Lepisosteus oculatus: one gene and its partner. The protein of the gene in region 1 purifies or fractionates together with the protein of each later gene. This does not show direct contact. Links are inferred from orthologs where the notes say so. Each region holds a gene or a part of one and is shown in the gene's direction. Other genes may lie near its edges.

Region 1 (8,207 bases):
AGTTATAAGAATTGCTCCCAACCAAACACCTTTAAATCTTGCATTTTTTAAACTACTATTGCTCTACAGTTCTTTTCATGATGCACTGTAAAGTTATTAGCAGGATGTGTATGGAGTCTGTTTTTCCATATCACTCTCTCATAAAACCATTAAATAACAAGAACCCACCCGTTTCTCTGGTTTTAGCCATGCATAGGTATCCTTTAATGTATACCTAAGCCCAAAAAACCAGGTCTCTCTCAGGCCAATAGTCCGGCACACCAGATCAAACAAATCTTTCCCTTTCCACTTCACCTGCAAAGGACACAAATAATAAATCAATGCTGGAATTTAGTATTCTGTACCAAGGAATGAGTCTTAAAAAAGTCCAAAATCATCATTAACACAGAAAACACGTTATGAGGAGTGAAAGATGATACCACCTCATCTTTTTCTTTTGCTTGTGTAGAACAATACGCTACCTCTCTCAAAATGAAAGAACTCCTGCATACTGTGAAAGGCCTTCACACAAATCAATGTGTGCTATGAACTGATGGGACGCAATTAAACTAACAATGTTACCGATACTTGCAAATTATCAAATGTTGGCATTATGTATATACTGTACCTCACAACTGAATTCCATCTCTGCATCCATGGTGATAACTTTGACTTTAAAAGTCTTTGGTTGTTTCTTCTTTAAGCCCAAGATCGACATGTTTGGATTATGTGCCACCTGAAAAAAGCGATTAATAAAAACACGTTGGTTGTTGTTAAATATTAGTACTAATAAACTTAAAACTTAGTGTTATATTTGTTCATAAAATATAGAAACAACAGGAATATAAACACTTACAATACAAATAAAATCGTGCATTTTCTTTTAAGAAATACCCTTGCATTAAAACCTGTTTGAAGGATATTAAGACTACACAATTTAACTGCCTGCTTTCGGCTGTATTACTCCTGTTCGAGTAACGACCAGAAAAGATTTTAATCGTTCGACTGGTTCTTTTTTCATTTCTTACTTTTATATTTCTTAAACAAGTTGGTCTTTCTTGCCAAACTTTAAAACAGGAGTTCGTAAACACAGCTGTATTAAAAACGTGTCAACATTAGAAACACAAACTCAAAGCAGCCCAAACTGTACTAATCAAAACAACTATACTGAGACAATCTATTTTGACCATATGCTACAACTTTTTAAGCAAACACAAACTTCAATATCAAAAGGCTTATTATATCTTAGAAAAACTGTCTAGAGGTTCAAATGAGTACATTATTTTCTGTTTATATATACCTTTTCGGTAGATCAACAACACAAGGCCAAGTCCTCGGAAAAAAGTCCAAGCACGTATCCTGTCCGAGCGGAGCAAAAATCGAATGGCTCGCTTGTACTCAACGCCTAGGTCTTACCCTTAAGCGATGAATATTAACGAAATAAGACCAATAACAAAAAAGTTCTCCGAAACTCCCATTTCTGGGAAATAAAAGTAAAAGTTTTAACCAAATCTCTCAGTATTTTTTAAAACTTATTTTTAAATAGAGTAACAACGATTAACTTCACGAGTTTCGATAAAGAGGCTTTGTTTCACTCTACAGGTGAGAGAATGAACAGCAGGCAGCTGTTTTTTTTTTAAAACTGCTTGATTTTTTCAAAGCAATAGAGATATCACTGAGGTTTGACCCTATGCGATAGAGATTTTTTTTTTACCAGGCTAGACTGTATTTCTCACGTTTTTTATTAATCGCTACGTTAAAATCGTATTGTTGCAAACTTTATCCATCATATTTAGTAACACCTGAAGTGTTTTTAAAGTATTAGTATTCTATGTGGATGTGTATGACCTGATTGCATTCCACCGCCATTGCATTTTAAAGTTATGATGTTGCTGTATGAACATGATATAATGTCCCATACCGCGTATTTATGCTATGCGTCTGCATACAAATCTCGGTTTTGTTTTGACATTGTTCAAGTGTCGCCTTTCCCCTTCCGAGGTGCCGTAGTTTCTGTTTATGGCGTCATCATAATGCGCCGCTTTATCACAGAAGGCATGGAGAAAGAGATTTCCGAATTCCTGACCTTCATAGTTTAATCGATTTTCGTATTTTTGCTAATACTCTGTCTTACATTTTAGGGTAAGAAGTTCCGTATCTGGGAGACATTTTGTCAGTGTCTTAAAATAGATCATTGTCTTCTAATTTTGAACATGTGCTTGCTATAATACACTTTGTTTACGCGAGCTAATTTTGCAATAGATTAAAAATGTATATCTTTTGCAAGATATTTTTATTCAGAGTTAAGCATTAGCTTAATCTAAATCACCTGTAGATTTATCAAATTTAGATTATACATTTGCTATATTATAGTGAAATGCTTAAAACGCGCTTACATTCGTTATTCTATTATGTATGTGATACAACAATAGTGCAAAAAGTTGTTTTTTATTATAAAAAAGTGTCAGTGTAGGCGAAGGTATCGTTTTGCTGCTGGTAATTTTCAGTTTTCGTACAATAAAGACCTTTAAGATCCGCGATGGTTTTGACCTTTTGCTGATTTTACTTTTCCGTAAGGTTTTGAAAGCTGTCAGAATGTCTGCAAAACAAGCCTCAGTCCACGCCAGATGGATAATAGGCAAGGTGATCGGAACCAAAATGCAGAAAACCGCAAAAGTTCGAGTGACAAGACTTGTATTGGATCGGTATCTGATGAAGGTAAATATTATATATTTGAATCTGTTTGATTTTGGCGACAACTATCGCAAAAAATCTGATGTCTACAAGATGAAAATGTTCTATCTATATATGCCAGTCTCAGTTTAGCAAATGCACGGATATTGTTTTAAATTTGTAGAAAAAGAATGAATGTCCAAACAAAAAAAACAGATTACAGAGTTGATTAGATGTGGATTTAATGTGAATTAAGTTAAACTAGTGGATATAATTCTAAATAATGATGTACAAATTCTGGTATTGTAAAGAACTTGCATTGACAGTTCATAACAGTTCATAAACTGCTGCTTCAAAATGTCCAATTTTTAACATCAGGTTTATGGTATATCATGTCATTCACAGTTCTACAACAAAAGGAAGACTTATTTTGCACACGACGCTCTGGAACAGTGCACTGTTGGAGACGTGGTTCTTTTGAAGGCACTGCCTGAGAAAAAGTCAAAACACGTTAAGCATGAACTTGCAGAAGTTGTGTATAAGGTTGGGAAGGTTGTAGACCCACTCACTGGGAAGCAGGTTGCTGGAAGCCTGTTTTTGGAGCCCCTCTCAGACTCCACAGAGACTACCGCTGAATCTTTAACCGAGAAGCTCCAGGAACTGAACATCACAGCAGCATCAAGCAAAACTCCAGAGAAATCTTCTGAAGTCTGAAAAAGTCATTTTAAAAATAAACTTTTTTTTTGCAATGTGTCATGATGTCCATATCTGTCTTGATCGATTTTTGTTTTAATTTAGTTTTTTCAGATGTGAAAATGTGTTAGCACATTGAAAAGTAAATCAAGGAACAAGCAGAGTTCATTCCAACAGGAAAAGTAAAGCAGAAAGAAAAAAAATATTTGAACTGCAGTCTTTAGGTTTCAGAAGAACTGTCTCCTCTCACTGTGCATTTGTTTTGTTCTGTAAAGCACTCTGAGTAGCCACTTTTAAAGGTACTATGTAAAATAAAGTTTATTATTTTATTATAGCTGAGGAATAGGGTATGATGAACCCTCATGCCTGAAGAAGATTCCACAGCTAAAACAGTTTTCTTTTGTACTTGATTCCTTTGAAGCTTTCTGATATACTGTTGTGCAACGGCACTGCTTTAATATTTAGAAGTTAAAAAATCAATTGTATAAAATGTACCTCTATGGAATCAAGATTCTTTGATTAGCTATTAAATAAAATTGCATCTTTTTTAATGTGAAAAATTTGAAGCACTGCGATTGTACCCTTGAGCAAGGTATAGTAATTTACACATGCTGACCCACTACAGTATATAGCAAAATTATATAAATCGGTATTCTCCAGATCATCTTTATAAATGAGAATTCTCAGTTGAGTTATCTGGTTAAATGATGCGCTCGGAGCTACAGTAAGCTTTTTGAATTGTAAATATTACAACATCATTTTTTCGAGACTATGCTGTACAGTACACTTACTCTCCTTGGCACTCCCATGTCAAATAAATGAAATGATTTGAATATTAAAACCTTTGAAGAATATGTATGTTGCACATATAAAATATGTTTAGTGAATTCCCTACATATCTGATGGTTTTGGCAAAATAGAAAATCAATTTGGGTTGGAATACAGAATTGTCAACATATAATTGCGATGTTGATGATTTCTGTGTTAACTGCGTTGTTTATATAACATTGTTTTCTCCATTTATGGGAATACTGTATATGATATAGCTAGGTTACTAAGGGAATTCCCTGTATGTTATTAGCACAACATTACCATTGTAAATTACATTTCTAATTTTAATTTAAAAAGCTTTTTGAAACATTAAAGGTATTTCTAGCTTCACTTGAGTCTTGTGATCTATATTTTAACAGTTACACTTCGAACGTTTTATTCTCTCTTCTTAGTCCTAATTGCACGTGTTCAAAACATGATTACCTCGCAATCTTAAGACCATTCCAAAATGTGAGGTTGCACCCTACGGACAGTTACCATCCGTAAGCAAAACAAGTCTTTTCTTGGAGTAGCGTACCCCCAGATTTGCAAGATGAAAGCTCAGGACCTTAGACATCACGTCGATTCTTTGCATAAATTGCCTTCACTGCCCTCCAATGGCTTTCCTGATTCAGATAATCTGTTACGTCGTTATCAGTGGCAGGAAATGCTCAGCCTGAGGAAGATGGCGACTCGAGTCCTTCGGAGTTTGGGGGCCGACCTGAATCAAGCAAGAACTAGGGTCCGAGCCCGAGGACAGCTCGTTTTCGTCTCCAGGTTCGTCTCTTTCCGCGCAGTTTGTAATAAACATCGCGGTGTTTTTTTTCTCTCATACTAAAGGTGCTCTTTCTGCGTGTTTAGGTCCATGCTTTTTTTGTGCAGCCGATGTCGCCGCCCCCTCCAAACTGTAGTGTAGGTTGGGAAAATAATGCGCTTCCAGCCCTGTTTGGGCTGTGTGCAATTTGCGCTGAGATATAAAAAAAACAACAACGTTTAAAACTTTATCTTAAAGCAACACCAGTTATACTTTTGGGCCTCCTGTTTCCTTTCGTTTCCCTTTTTAATATTGACCTCGAAACAGGCCGACTATCTCGCAGGAAGTTTTTGTCGGTGGTGTGCCTGCAGTTTATCCAATTGCAGCTCAAGGTCATTATAAATGTCTTTGTTTACTGAGCATACATGGTTACCGTTGTAAGGAGGGCACTGACTACCATTTTTCTTTGTTTTCACCGTTAATTATGTGATTGACCTTGACACTTTTTTTTTGTCAACGCAGTGTTTTCTGCGTGGTTTATTCAGTGTAGTACTTAGGCTTATGTGATATTTATTTTTAGTTATGCCATTCTTTCTGATTTATCCGGACATATGTGTATTATTTTTAGATTCAGTAACACCGATTATGATATTGGACGTATTCCCATTTTATAATAAAATTGAAACACTATTCCGCCTTACGACCACTGTCGTCATACAGTATGTGTTCATATGCATAGAGTCTCTCCTCAGTACCACAGCAAGGTTAGGCCCGGTCAGTAGCAACACTAATGACCTCCAAAAATGCTTATGAAGGTAGTGGTGGGGGGACTTTTCAGGCTATTTTTCTCCTCATAGACCTTCAGTATCCCTCATCACTATTAAGGGTGGGAAGGAGGCTGGTTATTTCAGATTTCAGTTTCTGGAGCTCTAATCAGATGTGGGCGATGTGCTTACAAGCATCAATCAACAGAGAGCTCATTATTCACTGGAGATCGAAATAGGTGTAAATGAACCTCTAGTTATATATTTTTTTATTTCTCCAACTTTAACGTGGCTTTTCTGGAAGTATTATATATTGCTATGATAGTATTTCTGCTATGGTGCACATGCACACTTTCAGGCGCGAGTGTATTAAAACTTGTGTAAAACCTGTCTCAGTACCAATGACATTCTTGGCTTCTCACTGTTGCCTTCAGAGCCCTGTCAGCGTCTACTAACAGGAATGGGGAGGACAGCTGGTTCAAGTCTCTCTTCGTCCGAAAGGTTGATCCGAGAAAAGACGCCCACTCTAACCTCCTCGCTAAGAAGGAAACCAGTAACCTGTACAAAATTCAGTGTAAGTTCCTTGCTCATCACTGTATTCCTTGCTATTACCAGATGCAACAAACATCATGTTGGCAAGTTATTCTGAAAGGCTTGTTGTTAGTGTAATATATCAAGACCTTTTTTCTTTGTGAAAAGCCACAAGTAGAGAAAAAGTGGTGTTAGCTATTTACTTTTCTTAACTTAAGAGGAACACTCAAATTTTTGAATGTTTTTATTTTTGTTTCCAGTTCACAATGTAAAACCTGAGTGCCTGGATGCCTACAACAAACTTTGGTGAGCTTTCTGCTATCATTCTTGCTAAGCAAAAACAGGAACATCTGTATAGCTGTAGTTAAACTGAGCGTGATGGGATTTTATGTCATAGAGTGTGTTATAGCACCCGATACATTTGGAATGATTTATTTGAAAAAAAAATAAAATGTGTGAATTTTTGAAAAATTTAAAACAAGAACTTTTGATGTTTCCATGAGCCAGTTATGAATTTACAATGTATTTGCAGGTATGAATATGCCTGATTTCATTCATTTATTACAAAGCTTCTTGGTGATTCATAACTGCAGACCAATGAATAATAGATCTTTATCCTGCTGTTTCACGGTGTTGGTAATTGTTCCTGCTTGTACCCACACAGGTAAAAAGCATGAAGTAGGCTAACAAATTTGAAAAACTCTTTAAAAAAGATGATTTGGAAAAATATGTGGATCATATTTAAATAAAGATTGCACACCATTTAACTTTACAGAAAGGAATTAGTGTGCCCTGGCATGTAGAATGCACATGGGAGCTCTTTATGAATATGGAAGCAGATGGTTTTGGCTTATGACTATGTAGGGGACTGTTTCCTAACTGAACAATCCGATGATCATAACACTAGGCAAAAGCACAATCGACAGCAAGGACTGTAAAGCAGCAGCAGCTGCAAGAAATGACAATGCAGTCACTTAAGATGCAGCTGAGGAAGGGGTCTGTCTGAGCAAGAGTGACAAAGGTGAAGGTGAAGCAAAAGCTTTGTGCCCGAGACAATGGCCTTTGAAGTGTTTGACTAATTTAACTCTCCATACAGCGAGGAGGTTTTGCCATCAATCCATGCAGATAAGCACTACCCCTGTGAGCTGGTGGGCACCTGGAATACGTGGTACGGGGAGCAGGATCAGGCTGGTAGGGGACAGCACCGGTACCCAGCATGCAATGTCTTCTGCAGTCTGTTTTACCAGTAAACCTACTTGTACACTTGAATACATAATGCTACACCCCTTAGGCCACAATTTATTAGCTAGTGCTGTCCCATAGTATGACCAGGTCAAAATGTCATGCTTTGATTTTTCCAGGAGATTGTAGAATATCAGGTATAACTACTCCATCATGACACTGCAAATGAGCCCCTGTCTCTCAGCAAACTCGTACTGAGAACTGCTCTTTTGATAGAAAAGACAACAGCAGTTGCTTGTTTTTGTATGTCTGTGCTTGTCTGTATAGAGCAGTGCAGCTCCTGGTATTTGAAGAGGAAATAGTTCTGGGTTCCTTGTGCCTGTTGCTTGCTGGGATAGGCTCCGGCTCCCCTGCGACCCTGAATTGGTACAAGCGGCAACTAACAAGATACATGGATAGCTCTTGGTTTACTAAGCAATACTTTCTCAATGATGTGGTCATAATGAAGTAACCATCAAGTAACATAAAGTGCTCTGCATTTTGTTTTCTAGTTCACCTGTGGAGGTATGAGGGAGGTTACCCAGCACTAACTGAAGTAATGAGTAAACTTAGGCAAAACAAGGTACTGGAGCCTTTCTTCATCCGTATACAAAACGTAAATAACGCCACTATTTTTTCGACTTACAATCTCTGAAAGGAAAAGGGAGAAACAGGCTGGTCTTTGCCAGCTTTTTGTGGCTTCATGTGTGATTTAAATTATTGATTTCAATATTGTGTTTGAAGCTGGGAAGAAAATATTACAGACTTCACAGGTATGGAGG
Region 2 (8,209 bases), on another chromosome or scaffold:
ACTAGGGACAGGACAGAGAAGGAGCGCCCTCTGGCTGCAGAGGGTGTGACACTCATAGAAGCACTCCGCATGCATGAACAAAAAGCAAGGAGGGTTGAGATCAGTCTGAAAGTTGATCGTTACCTCTCTGGCAACATTGCTGGTCTTCACTTCCTGGATTACTGTTCCATAAACAATATAGTCTACAGCAGTTCTTGGGATGCCAGTCTTGGTGATGAGCCCCCTGTTGAAAGATGGTTTAAAACTGTACTAAAAAAAACACCTTTTTGATTGTACATATATTTAGTGTTACCGAATTTTCATATTGCCGTTTCCTGAAATCATACCCATTACCAAAGACATTTTCTTAAACGTAACCCCAAAGGAATATTATTTGAATTTTACAATTCATTTTACTTACTGCAACGCTGCTCTGGCCAAGTCATGAGGCATCAAATCACTATACCTAAAAAAATGTCAAAGAAATTTTGTCTTAGCTTGAAGGTAGATAATGACTGGCAAAACATGAGCTCTAATTCCCAACGTTAAGGGTAAAAAGATCACTTAACACCCAAACAGCACAAAATAAATACAAGCGTGTTAAAAAAAAAGCTGAAGGGTACAGCTGTAGCCTCAACTGTTAATACACTACTAGGCTATTTCACATGCATTAGCTTGTAGTCCTACTATCACAATCTATTTAAATATTTAAACGAGCAGCACTTTTATTGACTTCAGGAAAGAAGAATATGTCCTGAATGAACGGATGGGTGGATGGAGTTTACAATTCAGGTGTGTTAAGCTGGATTGTTCTTTTTCAGGGGAAAAGCCTTGTAGCATCTTTTGTCCCACCCCATCGGAAAAAAAAAAAGAAAAATGTTCTGCACGTGAAGAAACAATTATGTTTTCTTTGGGAATTAATCCATTAGTTTGAATTAGTTTGTGCATTAATAACTAAGAAAGATTATACTAAAGACATTCATATTTTTACTTACGTTGTTCCAGACTGCAAAAAAGGGGTGCGCACTCCTTCAACTAGAACGATATTCTTCACACCAGGTTTTGCCAGAGTCTTTTTAGTTTTGGGTTGTACTACAATAATAAAGACAAAACATTCAGAACATTTCCATTCTTACTAATACTAAACATAAAAATAAACTTAACCAAAATAATTGATGGTATTGTCAATCTAAATCATTAAACACATCTTTTGTAAAACACTTTTAAACTTTAGGCACAAAAGCACCGGTAAAAAAGTAATAAGGATCTAGCAATTAGAACAACACAGATTTAAAATATTACATTCTGTCCTTCAAAAAAGGATTTTGAAGAATCAAAGATTTCACACCATAAGAAAGGATAATTTACTTTTAGTCTTCTGGAAAGTACTGTAATTATCGATAAATTATTTTAATTCAAAACCCCCAAAGGTAAAATAAACATTTTGCTAAAAAAACACTTTTCTTTTTTGCACAAATGGCACAAAAGAATTAGACTATACCTTGAGCTTGTAAATGTGATGTCGTAGTCAGTGATCTAGCAGCTGATAAGGATGGAAAATACAAAATATTTCCAAGATTAATTAAAACATCCATTGTATATACACTAAAACCTATATTTAAGAGCTTTCCAATTTTTGTTCTGATATTAGCTATTTTTAATTAATGTAAGAAATTGAACAGATTCAACTCAATGCAAATGAACTGAACAAATTCTATGCAAATGGATTGACGTTATTTTCTGATCATGTAGTTACTGCAGAAATAAATTAGCACAACAGAGCAAATGCTCTCCTCCTGTTCTAAGGTTCTGATCTGATAATAGAAAGGGTAGCTGGAGTGAAACCAGAAGATACCAGACTGGAAATCCCAAATGACAGACTGATTTATTCTGAATTTTATTTTTATAACCTGTTCTTTTTTTCTTACCAAGTTTAACAACCCAGGCAGAATTTACTGGGCAGTTCCTGATGCCATGTGTCAAAATGGATGCCATTTTTGCTGTCCTAAAATGCAGAAGAAAAAGTCGTCAACATTCATTCTCCTTCTGTAAGGAAAATGTAATAGAACCCTGATCTTTTTCACAGTTAATCCTAAGATTGTTAAACAAAGTATTTCACTTACACTGAATGATCATAAAAATCCAGGTATGATATCACGACTTTCCGTTTATGAAGGATTCACAATTTTAGGAAATGCAAAATTTACCAAAAAAAAAGGAAAAACTGATTTAAAGCTTGTTTGTAAATGCATATATATATATAGAGGTCTTAAAAAGAAACAAAACACTAAACTAGATAAATAAATATCTAATAATGTTTAGTGGGGTACAAGTCAAACAGCCCCCACTGTTTTCTGTAGCATTTAATGAACATAACTACAACTTGTCTTCCCTTTTCATAAATGACAACTTCACAACAGTATTAAAGCTTTAAATGCAAAACAATCCACCTGCATTATTTCAATAGTTTTATTTAAATTCAGCATGATGTTTTTTTCCGTGCCTTTTACATAGCAACCACATGAACCTAAGTGAAAGGTTGTTCTCAAGATAATAAGCTTGATTTGTGTGAGAAGAGTCATTTCTTCACATAAAAAGCAGCAGGGTTACAAAAACTTTATAAAACTGTACCAATCCTAATCTATTAAGAAAGAAAATAAAAAAAATCAGTTCAATAATGGCCTGCGACTAGCCCATTTCGTGGTAAGTACTAAAAGTACAAGAATCTCAACCAGCCATTTATTTAAAGAATCTAAGATATCACAGCTTCAGCATGGCTGGGTAGCTTGTTCCAGACTCCCACAACCATTTTGGTAAAGAAGTGTCTCCTGTTCCTGTTTTGAAACGCACTTCTTCTTGTGTCCAATGGTTCATGTTTCACTGTTCATTCTGAAGGATTCTGCTGGGTTGACACTGCCAATGCATGTGAGGATTTTGAATCAGGTTCTGGATAATATCCCCCTATAGCCTTCTCTGATCATAACTAAAAAGTTCACGTTTCTTCAGCACTATAGTGTAGGACAATCCCTTCAGCCCCACAATGTTACTACTCCTTTCTGGATGGATTCTAGAGTAGCAATATCTATTTTATAAAAACATGGCGAGTTAAATTGTATACCATATTCTAAATGATGCTGTCCAGCACAGCAGACATATGACAGGTTTTGGTGTCAAAATTGTTTGACTTCATGGTTGACCTTAATGACATCTTTGAAGTGTTTTTTTTTTTTGCCTTCTGCTTGAGTGTATGAAGTTGTCTATCCAACTTCACACACACAGGGTATTCCAAATGAAGTCTGCATCACACAAATGTTAACATAACCCCCTGAGTTAAGTTCTACTCTTTTAAATATTTATCCTGCCATTTTGATAAAACGATAAGACAGTAAACTGTTCTGCAACGTCACTGCCTCAGTCTACACAAAGAAGCTGCATTCTGTTCTAGGAGACTCAAAAGCATTTTAGTTATCTCTCAAGCACTTCTATATATTTGACATTTAACTCCACCTTTTCAGAAATTCAAGGTAGTAAAACGCATACGGAATTCATATTGTACATTATATTCACAGATCGGGTGTTCCGGAGTGAGAGTTTCCTATCTGGGTGGAAGCACCGCCCACAGCTACACTTGACCTCTCACCTACTTCTCCAACCTCCATACCACACGAGCCTCTGCAATGAAACAATACATTGCAGTTCATTTTGGTTGGAAAAGTAAGGTCTGTGATAATCCAATCCACACAATTCAAGAACTGTGTTCCCTTTAATGGTTACACAAATCCCGAGATTAACAAAAAAGTGGGGCACTTCTTACTGGTAAAGAGAACTTTCAAACGATGTTGGAAATGCAAGGCGCTTGCAAAAATAATACAAAATCTGGCTCCGACAACGCTCGCTTAATTTGGCACGATTTTCTCGATCTAGAATAGAAAATGAATTATTCACATAACGTACCAAATCATAACCAACCTTTAAAAAAATATTAATCAGTTATCGAAAACAGTACCGATTGCAACTTATTGATCATTGTATTTCATTCACATAAAGATAACATCTATACGAACGATGCAATGTTAAACTATTAAGTAAGAGGAGTGTCACTGAAATAGAAGCGCCTGAATTTCAAATTACTAATGTGAAAACTGCAACGCAATGATTTGCACCTGATGTTTCCCCATGACTTAAAAAAAAACAATGCATGCTGCTTTACATACTTCTCTGCTTGTTTACACATGTTTTAGCGCTATGTCTGAAAGCATTACCCGATTTCTTTTCTTTCTGGCGAAATACGCTCACCTTGTCCGTAACGGAATACTCACACGCAACACCCAAACCCTGACTGACCCGGACACAACAAGCCTTACAGTTGTCTCTCTCTAAGGACCTTCGACAGGTTGTGCTTTCCCAATCCTCGCCTGACATCCTTGTGCGGCTCGTTACATTAATGAAATAATAGTAGGAAATTGAACAACAGTACAAACTGGAAACCTTAATAATTTAGAATATTTAGACTTTTATATATATTTAAATTTTACTTTTAGAAGCTTTCTCTTATGTTTTGTCTCAGGCTTATCTGTGGTGTCCTCAACAGATATTAATACTGAAGGTCCTAGTCTGCTTGCCAAAGGTTGTTCTCTCCCTTGTCTGAACTTGACTGGCAAAGATGGCTGGCGTAAGAGCGCTTGGAATACTTTCCAGGTTTGCAACGAGCAGATATTCACTCTTTTCAGGTAACTGAATATGTTAGCTTATTAAGATGCTGGGTGCCACCTGCACCTTCCTCTGTTGCCATTATTGTTTAAGAAAAGAGAAGTTTCTTGGTGCTGGATGAGTGGGTGTACAGTATGCAACTGAAGCAGGTCTGCATTGACCTTTCACCTACTTAAATAGTGACAGTTACTTTGATAGAAATGCACACAGAAGTCATAACATAAGGGTTTTGTTGTGTCTATTGTAGCTGATGCATATAAAATTGAATATTTTTTCTAAGGCAATTTGTTCCTTTATGCGTTTTGCAGTTTTAATTCACCCAGACGTTGCTCTCCTTTTTATTTTTTTCGTGATTGATTTGCTTTCTTTGAGTCTTAAAGGCAATTTCATTGAATTTAATCATGATTATTAGCGTTCTTAATAGTTAATGTTTTGGATTTTTGTAATTCTTTGAAGTAAGTGATTATAGTGCAGTACTACAAACAGCAACGCTAGGAAAAATTAAGACTTTTTCTACACACTGAGCACAAAGACTGAACACACACCAATGTACTCAGTCTTACAGTTTTTGTTTATTCTCCGTAGGGTGTGAGAGTTTTCTTTCCTTATGTGTATTGCATTCAGTTAGTTGAATATGGAGATTTGGAAAAAATACCAGAATGCTGTTAATCACTCTGCAGTAATTAAAGTTACCTTTTAATATGGAGGAGCATTCGTTCTACTTGACTACTCAAACACAGAATTGCTAAAGTATTAAATGGGGTGCCGTGCAGTTTAATATTCAGTGTTAATTATAGTGATCAACTTCTGTGCCTCTGACTTAAAGTTCATAAAAAGCCTATAAAGTATATTCATTTAATTTTTGGAAGGCAAGGGGAAAATCGATTTTATTAAGGCACACTGAGCCTATGTGGAGTGAAAACGCTGTTGCTGTACCTTCTTATACCTTAACATTCATGTCACTGTGGCAAGAGAAAATCACTGCAGTCTTCAAAACCCTTTCAGTTTAAGGCACTTTTTTATTCTGTAAAGATGGGAGAAATCAGTTCTATACGAGGGAATATAGATATTTCATGAAAGAGGTCAGAATATTAACAAAAGTTGATATTGTATGGAAAACATAAAACTGCTAAAAAAGCTATAGGAGCTAAACCATGTAGTGCTCTTAGGTCAGTGCCAGTTAAACTTTATTAAAGTAGTAAAATATGATTATTACTCTAGTTTAATACATGTGTTTTATGGTGTTAACATTTAAAGGTTATTCAGGTAGAGCTGTGTTCCATATTTCACTTTTTGGATTTCCATTTTAAATGATAATTTGATTAACATACTGCAGATTAAAATATTCTGTAAAATATTTCACTTGTGAATGTACTGTAACCTTGATTTAAGCAGTGGCCATTACTAAGCAGTTGCCATTGCCAGTGGTATTGATCTTGTGCTGTGTCACATGTTAAAAAGAAGGACAAAGGTCACTTTCTGCAAGCTTTTTATCTTTCCACCTATAAAAGGAATTTGTGTCAAAGTTCATTGCCTTCTTGCATCAAGTAGACTTGACGACCCCAAGTTGACCCCAAATATTAAAGGGACCACTTACTTCAATGTGATTTTTCACTTGACTTTCCATGTTAAGAGTTTTTTTTTTACTGTTTAGCATTTGTATTATTGAAATGCAAGCTAATTGAATATATAAACCTATACTAATGCAATATTTTAAAGCATTTAAAATGCTTCATTAAAAATATTTTTTTTTTATTCCTGAATGACAACTGTTTTGAAGGTCTTCTCATTTATACTTATAAATGTGACGCATTTGTTTCCCTCAGCCTTCTATATTTAACACTACACATCTTGCCATGGGTATTTTATGAATGTAGAAAGAGATTTGTCCCCAACTAGAAGCTGTAGTGTGTCAGCGGTCACTGGGTAAAATGAATATTAAGGTGTTGAAACAGCTACAATTATCCATCAAGGTTACAAACTAGTCTGATCAAGTACCACATACTGGACTTAAAATTTTGTTAAATTCCAGGAAGTTCTAGAAACATCCAGCAGATAATGTAACAATGTTTTGCATTTAGGGAAAGTTAACAAGGACTGTAAGCAAAAAGCATTTGAGCAGGTGTGGTTGAAGAGCACGAGACCAGACTGAACGAGCTACAGCCAAACAATTCAATGTTAGCACTTGATTCTGCCTTGATGAACCAGAACTTGTGAAATACAGGAGCGCTAAAAGGACTTCTTTTAAACACAGGGAAATGAGCTGTACGGCCAAATTTAAGGAGCTAGTTAAGAACCCATTCCGAAATCCACCAAGCAAAGTTTGTTTATTAGGAGTTTTGATTGGGACCAAAATGTGTCTCTCTTTTCCTCCGTTTAAAGGCAGGCTTTGCCATAGATAATTATTTGGTTTGTGAAATTCACTCGGTTTATCTTGATTGAGATGTATGTATCCTTCAACATGAATGATGCATTCATAGTCTTTTATTTAATTAGCTTGCATTTTGTGCTTCAGATAGTGTGATAAGTTTGTCACTAAAGCTATTGCCTATTTCATTGCTACCACCTTGAGGATAGTACATAAAAAAAGGCCACATGACCTTGTTCATGTGAGTAATTCACCTGACGAATAAGGTGGGTTATTATTCATCTTTAATAAATGTGCTGTTTCTCAGATTGTACTGCCTTGTTTGAAAGTGAATCTTAACGTAAAACCTTAACTACCTACTTTTGCTATTAATACCCCTTATATTATTATTCCTCATAAGTTTTATTTTCTTTCTGTAGGTTATGCGTGCCGCAGCTTCACAGTTTCTTCTGCCATGCTAGGTAACTATGGTCATAGTCTGTTATGTTGTACAGTATGTTTTGTTAATATTTTGTAAAATGGTTACAAATTTTGTTTTCCCTACAGTTCGAACCCATGTCAACTATGAAGTTAAGGGAGATGTTGCAGTTATACGAGTCAACGACCCAAACTCCAAGGTACTTCAAATATATCATTAGACTTTTTTTCCGATATTTCCAGCTTTTTTCTGTTCTGTGTTTTAAACGCCTAGTTTTCAATTGAATAACGTCAAGCTTTACTTTTGATATTAATTTGACACTAAAAACACAATAGCAGCTATAAGTGGACCTTTGGTCTCATTCACTGTCAGTTTTTTTTATCCTAACCAATAAGGACACCCGGTGTAACTGCTAAAGACTGGACATACGCCAGCAGAATCACTCTTTTATACCCACCTACAAAACAAAGTAGGAATGTATTAGGTTTATGAAAGTAAAGAACAATTATGAATATCGTGCTTAAAGCAATGCTCCAAATATAAATGAATTTTTCTAAAAAGTTTGTCCTATTTTGAGACATACTTAAATATGAAGATATAGAAAAACTAAATACAAAAATAGACAGGTAAAAAACATGTAGAAAATATTAGTATAATCTTAATGATTATATAATATGCCATAAAAAAGTGACTTAACTAGTTTTTATTTGTTGCCTATGTAAGGCAGGTTACAT

The links.
Region 2: the proteins of nipsnap2 (region 1) and trifunctional enzyme subunit alpha, mitochondrial purify together in Homo sapiens (affinity purification with mass spectrometry; 3 studies listed by BioGRID and IntAct, with this or other methods). This does not show direct contact. The link is inferred for Lepisosteus oculatus from reciprocal best matches to the Homo sapiens genes NIPSNAP2 and HADHA.

What each region holds. Positions count from the first base shown.
Region 1 is NC_090721.1:5,712,065-5,720,271, forward strand, and holds the start of nipsnap2 (protein NipSnap homolog 2), read left to right. Parts: upstream 1-4,794; 5' UTR 4,795-4,822; coding exon 4,823-4,932; intron 4,933-6,107; coding exon 6,108-6,247; intron 6,248-6,464; coding exon 6,465-6,510; intron 6,511-7,300; coding exon 7,301-7,395; intron 7,396-7,937; coding exon 7,938-8,008; intron 8,009-8,207. Other genes in the region: nf2b (NF2, moesin-ezrin-radixin like (MERLIN) tumor suppressor b), read right to left, coding at 169-294, 608-697. UniProt on the Homo sapiens protein: Protein involved in mitophagy by facilitating recruitment of the autophagy machinery required for clearance of damaged mitochondria.
Region 2 is NC_090697.1:47,017,840-47,026,048, forward strand, and holds the start of trifunctional enzyme subunit alpha, mitochondrial, read left to right. Parts: upstream 1-4,599; 5' UTR 4,600-4,642; coding exon 4,643-4,709; intron 4,710-7,476; coding exon 7,477-7,518; intron 7,519-7,603; coding exon 7,604-7,674; intron 7,675-8,209. Other genes in the region: hadhb (trifunctional enzyme subunit beta, mitochondrial), read right to left, coding at 124-223, 401-445, 975-1,071, 1,481-1,522, 1,908-1,974. UniProt on the Homo sapiens protein: Mitochondrial trifunctional enzyme catalyzes the last three of the four reactions of the mitochondrial beta-oxidation pathway.